3 linked regions of the Drosophila melanogaster genome follow. The protein of the gene in region 2 interacts with the protein of the main gene of each other region in a pairwise test. Each region holds a gene or a part of one and is shown on either strand. Other genes may lie near its edges. The genes, in order: CG43386, CG33655 and CG12699.

What was found.
Region 1: the proteins of CG33655 (region 2) and CG43386 interact in a two-hybrid assay, tested with the Drosophila melanogaster proteins (one large-scale study listed by BioGRID).
Region 3: the proteins of CG33655 (region 2) and CG12699 interact in a two-hybrid assay, tested with the Drosophila melanogaster proteins (one large-scale study listed by BioGRID).

Annotation. Positions count from the first base shown.
Region 1 is NC_004354.4:9,974,324-9,979,203, reverse strand, and holds the start of CG43386 (uncharacterized protein), read left to right. Parts: upstream 1-1,798; 5' UTR 1,799-2,045; intron 2,046-4,880. Other genes in the region: CG15252 (uncharacterized protein), read left to right, coding at 1-32, 87-155, 215-358, 425-484, 610-999.
Region 2 is NT_033778.4:21,317,238-21,321,679, forward strand, and holds CG33655 (uncharacterized protein), read right to left. Parts: upstream 2,781-4,442; 5' UTR 2,727-2,780; coding exon 2,628-2,726; coding exon of another isoform or gene 2,624-2,627; intron 2,567-2,623; coding exon 2,342-2,566; 3' UTR 2,166-2,341; coding exon of another isoform or gene 844-2,165; 3' UTR 780-843; coding exon of another isoform or gene 610-779; 3' UTR 556-609; downstream 1-555. Other genes in the region: CG9485 (uncharacterized protein), read left to right, coding at 1-315, 372-549, 610-779, 844-2,165; CG30394 (uncharacterized protein), read right to left, coding at 2,924-4,442.
Region 3 is NT_033778.4:17,246,002-17,249,265, forward strand, and holds CG12699 (uncharacterized protein), read right to left. Parts: upstream 1,383-3,264; 5' UTR 1,316-1,382; intron 1,228-1,315; 5' UTR 1,222-1,227; coding exon 784-1,221; 3' UTR 529-783; downstream 1-528. Other genes in the region: CG18469 (uncharacterized protein), read right to left, coding at 1-268.

The sequences.
Region 1 (4,880 bases), on a different chromosome or scaffold from region 2:
GTCTGGTTGGCATCATTAGCAGCCTGAGCGGTGTAAGTGGAAGGCTAAGAAACCCATAAATATTTATTTAAAATGGATTTATTTAGGGTGAAGGTGGTTCCGATGTGGGTGCCTTAATTGGTGCCCTTACCGGTGTGATATCCACTTTATTTGGAGTAAGTATTGAAGTTTTCCAATCAATCAAGGGTATTTAAATAGAAAAACTATCTTTTAGCCTGGAGGCCTAGATGTGCAAGGTCTGATTCAAACGGGAACCTCGCTGATCTCTGGTCTTCTGGGCGGGAATAAGAACTTTGGCCTCGTGTTGGGACAATATGTGGGCACTGCTTTGGATGGTCTCTCTGGAGGTGGTGGAGCGGTGGGTTCCTCAAACCTATTTTCATGAATTTCCAGTCATTTTACTTGCATATATTATTTTTTCCAGATTAACAATGGCCAGTTTATAGGCAACTTCTTGGGCACTGTGCTGGCCGCATTGAGCGCTGTATTTATATATTTTGCTTATATATATATTTACCTTCTAGATCCCAACCTCATAACTGTGTTACTAACCCCTGAACGTCATTTATTTAGCGAGTGCAATAAACAACATTCTACAATCTTTAACAGGATCCCGAGGAGGAGGGCCCACCGCAACCATTGACCTTCACCAAGAACCTGATCACCAGCTTCCTGGAGGCAAAGTTTCGACCAATTTCAGAGGACGGCTCAGAGGAGCGACACGGAAGTGCGGAGTTGCCACGCCCGCGAAAGAAGAAGGAGGGCGGTGGATGGGCAGCTGCGGCGGCAAATAACTTTGATTCTGGAGGATTTGTGAAGCAAGTGGCCTCCCATCTGGTGAGCAATGCCCTTGGATTGATTTTGAATGCCGGTCTGGGAGCCGCTGGAGGAGCTTCGAGTGCAGCCAAGAATATTTTCGCCAGCAGCAGCATGGGTCATCATGCCAAGCCGGCAGATCACCATAGATCTTGGAACCCCTACCATAATGAGCCATTCTAGCCAGCTTAGTCATCACATAATCATAGTTACGTTAATCGTTTGTGTTAAACCCATTTTTTTTTTGCTAGTTCGTAACCGAAATAAATAAAGAAGTGAGGAGAAAGACTTGTTGGTCACTTGGGCAGCTAAGAAAGCGTAAAAGAGGGGCTCTAAATCAAGTGGCGTAACAGCTTGGACAGCGGCTGATGCAAGAGATCCGATGGAATTCAGTGGGAGCCACTGCAATGAACCACTCCCCCAAGGATGCGGTGGGGCAAATCACTGGATGGAAACGCAAAAAGCGAAAGCTCGCAATGAGCGGAAGTAAAAACTAAGTAAAGGTTGAGGGGTGAAATAGCTTGTTTGGGTTCATTTCCTCAAACTAAAGTTCAGTGGAAGGTAGAACAGGGGAATGAACTACGGATTTCGGCTCAGGAGTTTCGCTTCAAAAATTAGTTTTAAATACATTTGGCAATACCTTAATTAACTAATATTTAAATTAAAAAGATAGAATTAATATATATTTTGTAACCCAATAGCCTAATAGCGAATATTTTTGGATCTTCTTGACCCAAGAGTTTTCCCTGAACCTTTCTCCGTGGGCCAACTACTTGGTAGCTTGCCCAATGGAGCGGGCATTGTGTCACTTTCTACTGATTACAGGTTTCATTAAAATGCTTTTACTTGTTTACTTCTGGTGCTTTCTCTGACTCTCTCGCTCTCTCTCTTCCGCCTGCTCTCTCTCTCTCTCTCTCATTCTGTCTTTCTCTTTTTTTTTTTTGAAGTGGGCTGAATATTTTTTTAGCGGCGAGTTTCAGTTTTCAGTTATGCGTGAATCTTTCACAAGACAAAGTGACATTTTGCGGGCCGTTTAGTTGTCGCGTTTTTAATTTGAAAAACTTCAGGTTGTGTTTATTGTTTTGTGTTTTTCTTGTGCGCTCAGTGTTTGTGCTGGTTTATTTGCATTTTGAAATTGTTTATGAACTCAATTATATATTTGGGTGCTTCGGAGAGTTCGCATTGCAATTAAGTTTGGCAAGCCGCATTTTTATTTTATTATATTTCGGGTGAGTATGTATATAAGGCGGCTGAAAGCCGAAAAAAAGGGAAATAAGCGACAATCCCAGCTCAAAATGTATGTCAAAACGAAAGACTTAGGCAACGAACTTGCTAACTGGGCTAAGCCTCAACTGAAAATGCTGGCATAGGTCAGGTCTGTTCCAAAAACAAACAACACTACGGGGGGCTATTAATGGAGGGGGTTATTGAAGAGGGGGGGGGCGCTATTGGTTAGCGTTCGTCCATTAATCGCTTTGGCTACCGAAATTTGGCAACAGCGCCGACGTCAACAATGCAAAAGTGAAGATTCAAATGCGTTAATTGCTTCATAAATCAATTAACAAGAGCCTAACCAATCGTAAGCCGAAAAAAGGGAGAGTTTTATTGTTCTCCTATGACTTACGCTTTGTGTTCAGTGTCATATTTGATTGTTGATTATATTAAGCTATATGGATGGTGTCCAACATTTACTGGTTGACGTGCTACTTAAAATGCTATATAAATTACAAATTTTACATACATTTTAAAAAGGTTTTTTGTTTTTATAGGGAAGTGATTTGAGGGAACTTTCCTTTTTACTCTATTTCATTCGCATTTCATTTGAATTTTCGGGGTTAACTACCTGGTAACCTACTACTCATATTCGGCCTGACCCCTGGTCGCTGTCATGATTGAGGATGAACCAGAGTCAGAGCTAAAAAGACACTCAAAAATTAAAAAAAAAAACAAAAAAAATCACCAACTTGTCTGGGCCATGCAAGAGTGGCCTGGCCCAAAGAAACCGGTAACGGTCTCAAGGTCGTTCGTCGAATCGATGGCTCTGGCCAGATAAGCCTTAGCCCAAGATACAGCAGCCAGTTTAGCCATCAACGCGCTTTGGGCCAAAAGCTAAAAGCTATCAGCCATCAACTCTAAGGCATAAGCAATAACAAAACTCAGTGATGATAGCTGGGCCAAAATAAAAAATAAATAAATAAAATCGAAAACGAGGAAAAAAGCGAAAGTGAACGCCATGAAAGTGGAGCAGTCGAGCTGGAAATCCGCCGAAGGCAAACCGGCGGGGGGGGGGGGGTTGCGTCTCTTCATAAACAAAAAGATATATATGCAGGTGTCATATCTAAGTCGGTCAATAAGTTTATTGACCAGGCGACGCTCCAAATTGTGCGGTTGTTTCGGGAGAGTTATGCAAATCGATTGTGGCAACCCGATATCGAAAAGCGTAGAAACTTATGGCCGTTAAACAATGCACCCTTTTATATTTTTCGGGCCGATTAATATGCAAATCTCGAAATTTCTTATCCACCACTCGATATGTTGTGGCTTTATGTTTCAATTATGAGCGTTAAAGTCCGTATCGCAGATCTTGTATTATACGAATTTTCACACATTTTTTATGATGATATTTTTCCTGGGCAGTAAATTATAAGTTGATGCGGGTCTGGGCGAATGACTGTTTATGTTATTACCGGAGTGTTTTTGCCTATTATAAAATATGTTTAATACTCTTGAGTTTTATTTGCTTGGCAATTTCATAAGCCTTTGGCATTTTCGTTTAGCTTAGAAGTGATTTCCAATTTACGCCTCATTTAACAGCACTAAGTTCTGCACGGCAATTAAGCAAAGTGATCAGATTTGAAATGCCTTTCAAAATATCTAATGCCAAAATGATATTATTACGGGGCGACCTTCGCCGGCCGCCAGTGGCGAGATTTATTAATACTATAATTACAATAATGGCTGAACAAACAAATAAACGCTACATGACAGCAGAATCTGAATCTCCGGCAACCTTTGCGCAAAATCAAACGAATCATTTTTGCCTGGCCAAGAACAAAGTTCGTTTGTCCGATTCTAATACTAATTCTCAGACTGAGTTTTCAGTGAATGGTGGTCAGTTATTTAGTCTGTCGGCAACGCCTTTTCCAATTAAATTCGACCCGGCTATTGGGTACAAAGCAAAAGCACTCGATGCGAAAGATTGGCTTACAAACGGTCTTAATATAAACCGAATTAACTTTATTTTTCCATTAGAGTATTACACATGTGGTGCAAATCTTCGTGGGATTTGCTAAGTTAATTGCAACTTTTTAGAGATTGTCTACACACAACAACTAAAAGTCATTTGAACGTATCTCTTAAAACAAAAATATCAATTCTTTGGCAAGACGTTCTATTGCTTAGTGATTGGTTTTAAAGATATATGGTACCTCTTTTTTTTATATCTTGCCTATACCTGGCACATATTTATTTTGGCATATTTTAGATATTTATTAATAAGTAATCCCAGTCTTAAAAACATTTCCTTGGTCAAATGTCAAATGTACTGGCCGTAAAACACTTGCGCAAAGCCATCAGCAGTTCATTAGAGGCCCATTGCTGCGGCGGAGTTGAATACATTAGATGGAAATGGATGCGGAATCGAGTGCTGGCTTCTCCTCCATCTGGTTAACGAGCCGCACTCTCGGTCCAAATGAATTGGTTAATGGGTAATGGTTATGACCGTCTTCCCAACTTGCGGCGTGTAAACGGTTACTCGTTAAGCAAGGGGGTGCCCAATAGACCTGTTACCCGTTTCACTATATCTATTTTCCATTTTAATTTTATTATTAATTTTTTTTTCTCTGTTTTTCCTGCGTGCACTTAGCGGAGTCATTGTGGCCAGAACAGCGATGAGCAGGTGACATTAATGCCATGGCCCAAAACTGAGCAAAACCACACAAAAAAAAAAGAAAGAAAAAATAGCAGCCAGCGCATAATGCATAATGACAACCGTTGCATAACCCCCCCGCCAGTTGGGCAATGCCAAATTATGCCCCGACATGTTGGCGAAGGGTATTATGCTA
Region 2 (4,442 bases):
CTGGTCCTCGCACCAGTTTCGATAAGCTCCAGAAAATCTCGGCTGCCCTGCGTATTGGATCTGGCGAGGAGTATTCCCAGCTGCAGGCTATCGTCTCCAAGTTGGATCTGGTGGCACTTAGTGGTGCCCTTTTCAGCTGCGATGATGAGGAGAGGGATCTTGGCAAAGGTGGCACCGCCTACGACATTCCCAACTTTGGAAAGATCGTTTACTGCGGATTGCAAGGATTCATTTCCCTGTTGACGGAGATTTCGCCTAAAAATGACTTGGGACATCCGCTTTGTAACAATCTGCGCGACGGAAACTGGATGATGGGTAAGTTTGTAAAGATAGAGATTTATGTAGTTACTTTACAACATAATTCTTTTCAGATTACATTTCTGATCGCCTAACTAGTTATGAAGACCTGAAACCACTCTCCGCCTGGTTCAAAGCTACCTTTGAGCCACTGAAGAATATTCCACGCTACCTCATACCCTGCTACTTTGATGCCATTGTCAGCGGGGTTTACAATGTGCTCATCAACCAGGTCAACGAACTAATGCCAGAGTATGTCCATTAGAGCCGACTGCATTCATGGAGTTTTTATTAAGTCTTTAATTTTTACAGCTTCATTAAGAATGGCCACAGTTTCCCACAATCCCTGGCCCTGTCCACGTTGCAGTTCCTCTCCGTTTGCAAGTCGGCCAATCTGCCGGGATTCAGTCCTGCTCTAAGTCCACCCAAGCCTCCAAAGCAATGTGTGACTCTATCTGCTGGTCTGCCGCATTTCTCAACGGGTGAGTTTATCTATTATATTTAACAATCGAAACGGAATAATGGAATATTCAACCATTTATGTAGGCTATATGCGGTGCTGGGGCCGTGATACCTTCATCGCTCTGCGTGGCTCCATGTTCCTCACTGGCCGTTACAACGAGGCTCGCTTCATCATCATTGGATTTGGTCAGACCCTTCGACACGGACTCATTCCGAATCTTTTGGACAGCGGCAGCAAGCCGAGATTCAACTGCCGCGATGCTATCTGGTGGTGGATGTACTGCATCAAGCAGTATGTGGAGGATGCCCCCAAGGGTGCCGAGATCCTGAAGGACAAGGTGTCCCGCATATTTCCGTACGACGATGCCGATGCCCATGCTCCAGGTGCCTTCGACCAACTTCTCTTCGACGTGATGCAGGAGGCACTGCAGGTGCATTTTCAGGGCTTGCAGTATAGGGAGCGCAATGCAGGCTATGAGATCGATGCGCACATGGTGGACCAGGGCTTTAACAATCAGATCGGAATTCACCCGGAGACTGGCTTTGTATTCGGAGGCAATAACTTCAACTGCGGCACTTGGATGGACAAAATGGGATCCTCACAGAAGGCCGGAAACAAGGGACGTCCAAGTACGCCGCGCGACGGATCAGCCGTGGAGCTCGTTGGCCTCCAGTATGCCGTACTCCGGTTTATGCAAAGCCTAGCCGAAAAGGAGGTTATCCCGTACACCGGCGTGGAACGAAAGGGTCCATCGGGCGAAGTGACCAAGTGGAGCTACAAGGAGTGGGCGGATCGCATCAAGAACAACTTTGACAAGTATTTCTTTGTATCCGAATCGGAAACCTGCTCGGTGGCCAACAAGAAGCTTATCTACAAGGACAGCTATGGAGCCACCCAGAGTTGGACGGACTACCAGCTGCGATGCAACTTCCCCATCACCTTGACCGTGGCTCCCGACCTGTGCAATCCTCAGAATGCCTGGCGTGCACTGGAGCGCGCCAAAAAGTATCTTCTGGGACCGCTGGGCATGAAGACGATGGATCCCGAGGACTGGAACTATAGGGCCAACTATGACAACTCAAATGACTCCACCGATTGCACTGTAGCCCATGGCGCAAACTACCACCAGGGGCCGGAGTGGGTATGGCCCATCGGTTTTTACCTGCGGGCGCGCCTGATCTTCGCCAAAAAGTGTGGCCATTTGGACGAGACCATTGCCGAGACCTGGGCCATACTACGGGCCCATCTCCGAGAGCTACAGACATCCCATTGGCGCGGATTGCCCGAGTTGACCAACGATAATGGCTCCTACTGCGGTGACTCCTGTCGCACGCAGGCCTGGAGTGTTGCTGCCATTTTGGAAGTCCTGTACGATCTGCACTCCTTGGGAGCAGACGTGGCCTAAACCACCGTAAATACTCATATTCAAACCTGTTAGTTGCTACCAAAAACTGTTATTAGTGTTACGTTTGATAATTGTACGGATACAAGATGGAATGAGATTCGATGCCTGAGGTCCCTTGAAATTTTGCTATTCCTATTCTATTAAAGTTGCAATTGTTTTTAAGCGTTCTTTTTCGTCTAAGAGAAGTAACTATCTCGGCACACACGCATGCAGGAGCATTGGGGGGGATCGATGGAGCCAAAGTTCTTTCGAGGCATGTCCCGTCCCGTATATTTTGGAATGGTGTTAGCCTCGGGAATCGTTGGAGCTTTCATTGGTGAAACCGCTTCCTGGGAAATAGGCTTGACCGGAGGTAGAGGCTTTTCACGCTTTGCTTTCGATTTACCATCCTCTATTTTCAGCTTAAATAGAAATTAACCATTGCGATATAAATATTATTTTAAAAATATTACACCTACTCACTTTGCCACATTTTCTCAAGGCTAAAATGGCTGCCTCGCATGTTAGATCGTAAGCTTTCTGCAACACAACTTGTTGGATAACATCAAGGACGATGGACATTTTGATGGAATTACAAAAAACCTGGGCTTCACATACAATTTTGCTAGCAACTCCACGAGAAATTTGACACAATATTCCCAAGTCATATGAACTGTATATAATTTGTATATACTTCTAGTCTACAGTTTCTTATAAACTAAATAAATACATGTAAAGGTTATATACATAAAGCTTTGCATAGTTGTAAACTATCCGCATTACGTCTGCAGCGAAGTTTGGGTTCCATTTGGACTCGCTTGGTAGGATTCGTTTTCAGTAACTATCTCGACGTCATCATCTTTGATGGATTTGAGATCGCGTCCAATACTTTCCATGTTCAAGCTCAAGGCAGCTGCAGCCACATTATTATTCACTTCATCCAGCTTGGGCTGGCGTAGGCAGTTCTCGTCGTTTGAGGCCTCACGTTTAACCCTTGCCGGTGGCTGCTCTGTCGCATCCGCCGAACTTCGCAGATTGAGCAGCTCCCGGCGAATGGCCTCTACATTGTCTTCAAGGTTGGGTTTCTTGATCTCCGAGTCATTCGATGATTTCGGCTGAGTAGAATTCACCATTAGGGCTAGTGGAATGGGCAATCGTTTGATAAGCGCTTCTTTATCTACGGTCGAATTCCTGAGTAACTCTCCGGTTTTGTAGGATAGAGGTTCAAAAACGCCGGCATGGGCCTCCTTTTCATCGCGCAAATGTGTATTTTCCGTGAGTATGTCCATTAACGATGCCTGCCGCCTTCTCTCCTTCTTTTCGTCCGCAACTGGCTGCGACTCCTTAAGCTTAATTTCAGCCTTCTTCGGTTCCTCGGCAAATTTCGCACCAGTATCCAAAGGCTCATCTTTCTGTAACTCCAAAGGTGGCTGATTAAATGAATTTTTCTTGGCCAACTCTTCGTTTAGCTCCCCAACGGTTTTCGCCAATAGTTTTTTGGTCTCCTTTAATTCCTTTTGGGTTTTGAGTAGCTCATCTGCATTAGCCTTACTTTCCTTTTGCTCTTCGGCAGCCACGTCCTCCTCCTTCTTGATGGCCGCTCCATCAATTGTATTGCTTGCTGATAACAAGCTCGATCCAATTTTTGGTTTATCTGGAAGCGATGCAGCAACAGCAGGCGGATTATTCTTGGGCTTATCCACGGTAAGGTTGACATCGAGTGGTTTGGCTTCTGGTGGGTTTGCTTCTACGGCTTCTACTGGTAGTTTTTTAATATCCGTTTCAGAATTTTTACTATCTATGGGAACTACATGGACTTCATCGATGGGCAGTGGTGGCAACGGTGGGTTGTCGGAGGAAGCTGATTGCACTACCTCCGGCATATCAACAACTTTATCCTCAACGGTTTGTTTTAATTTGTCTGGATTTTGGACATCCAGTTTCTTTAACAATAGGTTCTTTTCACTGTCAATGGATTCTTTGGCCAAATGTTTTGGTAGCTCGCCGACGACAGCTGGCACTTGGCCATCGGGATACAGAGGGGTGCCTATGGCAACCATATCAAACTCCGGGCCGGAGCTCTTTTCATCAATTGCACTTAGGTTCGCATACGTTCCCAGGATCATCAATAGAAATCCACTTACGAATACAAACTGGGCAAGCGTACGTTCCATAGATTCCTTTTTGATGATTTTTCGAAAACTGGATGCGGGGAACATTATACAAATGGCTACGCCAATGGTGGAACCCACCAAGCCAATTATAAGCTCCACGGAGGGAATAACCAAAGCCACGCAT
Region 3 (3,264 bases), 4.1 Mb from region 2:
CAGAGCCAGATTCATTGTCCTGCCAGGGATTAGACTTCCAAAATCTTTGCTTCTGGAGGCGCAACTGTTTGGCCAACCGGAGCACACGCAACTTGACCCAAATGACTCTGGTGGCATAGACGGCAACTCCGGCTGCCGTCAACCATGGGTGTTGCATCATCATCCGGGCTCCGGAAGTTGTGGCGTCCGCATCGCGAGGCGTGGTATCGGGAACTGGCACGGCAGCAACCCCTTCAGAATCTGTGTCCTCAGATGCGGACTCACTCATGTTGTATTTCCTGCCTGGTAAAGGGAATTAATCACAATAATCTTATATAAAAGCAGTTTTTTGACAGTTAGGTGTATGGTATCGAGATGACGTGAATCCAAATTTGTTCTTGAAAATCTTAACACAAAAGTAAAGCCCTTGGATGACCACACCGATACGAAAGAATCTGTTGCCATATGGGAAAACTGAAATCGAACCTGCCCATGTGTCGTAGTAGACGATTTCTTATTTCCCCCTCCCAAAACGAATTGCTCTTTGTTAATAGGGTACCATACTTTCATCGCAGCATTTAATATAAACTCATAAAAACTAATTCAAATATCGCAATGTGGTACAAGAAATTTGGTTAATGTTTTAAAACTAACAATTTGTGTCCCCCAATGTGGTGGTACATGTCAAACATTGTCCGTGGATCCTCCCCTACGGAAAACGCAAGCATTACAACAATTAGTGTAGTTGTCCAGTGTGTGTGTGCATGTTCATCCTTCCGCGGTCCTTCATCCCCGATTCGAACATCAGCAGTCAGTAGAGACTTCGATCGGGCGATGGCATATATCCACACGGTTTGGCTCGAATCCCGGTCCCTCTGCTGCATCTTCGACTTGGGGCCCGACGACGTCTTCGTCCTCTGCATCTGATTCTGCATCAGATTCTGCATCAGATTCTGCATCATATTCTGCATCAGATTCGGAAACATCTTCATCAATAGTCTGCAAGGGCTTAGACTGCTTCGCCAGTTGATTTTTGAGCCGTTTTTCCTGTTTAGCCAGGCCGATCTCACGGAACTTGACCCACATGACCTTGGTGGCATACATGGCCACTGCGGCGGCCGTCAGCCATGGGTGGATCATCATCATGCGGGCACCAGCTGTGGTTGTATCAGCATCGGATGTAGTGGTATCTTCTTCTTCAACAGCCTCACCCGGAGATCCTGGGGCTTCTTCTTCTGACATTTTGGACTGCAAGAAAAAGAGAAGTTAAATTTCTACCGTGTACATTTCTAAAAAAAAAAAAAAAGAATATGAAATTTTTTTCGTTTTTACTTGCCTGTTGGAGGTGAAAAAACGGCTAGGTCGAAATGAATTTATCTTATAGTAATAGTTGTTAACGGTTGGGGTGATGGCGTTGGAATGAATTGTTATACCGGCTAGGTGTTCCAGGTCTTGGCATTTCGAAAAATCGGCCTGCTGAGGTTGAATTTAAAACCGTTCAAGTAGGAAGTACAATGGGATGGAGGGAGTAAATATTAAGTAAAAAGTAAATAATATATAAACTTTTAAAATACACGAAATTCTGTTGCCTACTAATAGCAAATTGATTTTGAGCTTGCTGGTTTTTTAGGAGATCAATTCTGCGCTTATTTAAGCGTACATTTGACCGCACTTATTCAAAATAGCCCATAGTACTTTCGAAAGGCCTGCTAAAGTTAGCTCTGAAAATTGGATTCAAATGGTTTTAAGCCTGCAAAGCCATTTGGGCCTGCAAAACTAATGACGTCTGTAGAATATTCTAGATGAACTGGCACTCTCCATCGTTTTATCTCTGCTGACTCCTCCAGTGTGGTGTGTGATTTATATTTCATAAGTTGATGAATTTTGTAACAAGTTGTCACATTTGCCAGCTGAGAGTTGTAGTCAGCCCCGGTTCTCCCTTAACCCACCAGCTCCCCCTCCACGACCCTATCATTTCGGTTCCATCCAAGCGACAAATGACACAACGCAAACAAATGCAATTTGCATTTGCATTTCGGCGTATACGTACGTGTGTGCTTGTCTGAGTCGGTCTGCACATATGTGTGTGTGTGTGTGTGCGTACCGGGTGGTGTTAATTTCATTCACAAACATTTCAATTTCGTTGCCAGTTTTAACTTAAGACACACAATAAACTCTATTAAAATATCTTTGCTTAACATACAACATACTTGTACTTCCTCAAAATTTAGTCTTATGAGGTAATCAATTTGTTACTTTATTGCGCTTCTAAAAAAAAAAGACAAATAAAAAAGCAAAAAATACTTTAAAAATATTCCAGTTAAATATAGCCTTAATATCTGAAGAGTAGTAAACACAAATATTCCTCAAATAGTTTTTACCATTCTTTTAAGTGATCTACAGTCTATTCGATTCAAGGTGTCACGACCATAAATTCGTCTCGATTCCGACTCGATTGGCTGTGGATTGTTATGTGCTGGGAAATCATAAATGTGCAACGAGGCGTATGAGCAACACACGGAATCCATCTCGACCTGCCACAGATGTAAATTTTGATCGATGTCCAATGCGTAGCTGAAACTGAGAAACCACTAGAAAGGCAACTTCAGTTACGTTGCCAATTGGCTCGTCAATCTGTGTATATTCGCCGATAGGATGGATATCCTTTATCCTCTGTAAAAAATTATTCAAAGCTTATGATTATTTATGCATTGACATGTATTTAATGCGAAATATAATATATATGGCTTATAGTGGCAGACTATTTTCTTTTTGTGCCACTTGGCGATTAAATCATATGGCGAGAACAATGAGTGATATTTCACGAGGTCTGCATAATTTACCGCTCCGGAAGTCGCCGCGGATGTTGAGAGTTTAAATGCGGCGTTTGTTTTTCCACCCGCTGCCTATCCATTCCTATCCATAAGTAGGCTACACCAGGCGACTTGCACTGCGTTTTATTATCCTCACTTTTTTACAACGCCTGCATTGTTAGCCTGCTGCCTTTGCTGTGCCCTGCTTCTTTTATTTCATATATATATATTTTTTTTTGGCTGCAATTTTATTGTTGCACAAAGTTTCCAATTGCACAATGAAAATGGAAAGGGGAAAACCACCCTCGAAACTTTCGACCCACGCGCCCAAAGTTGTCAGGGCTTGCAAATGCATTAAAACAATGCCAAAATTCGGAGGCCCAAAAAAAAGAGAGAAAGTGCTTTACCAAAAAAAGCATATGAAGCCGGTAGATAGTAGACGAAAAAGGCTGCTATATAACTAGGCAAATAT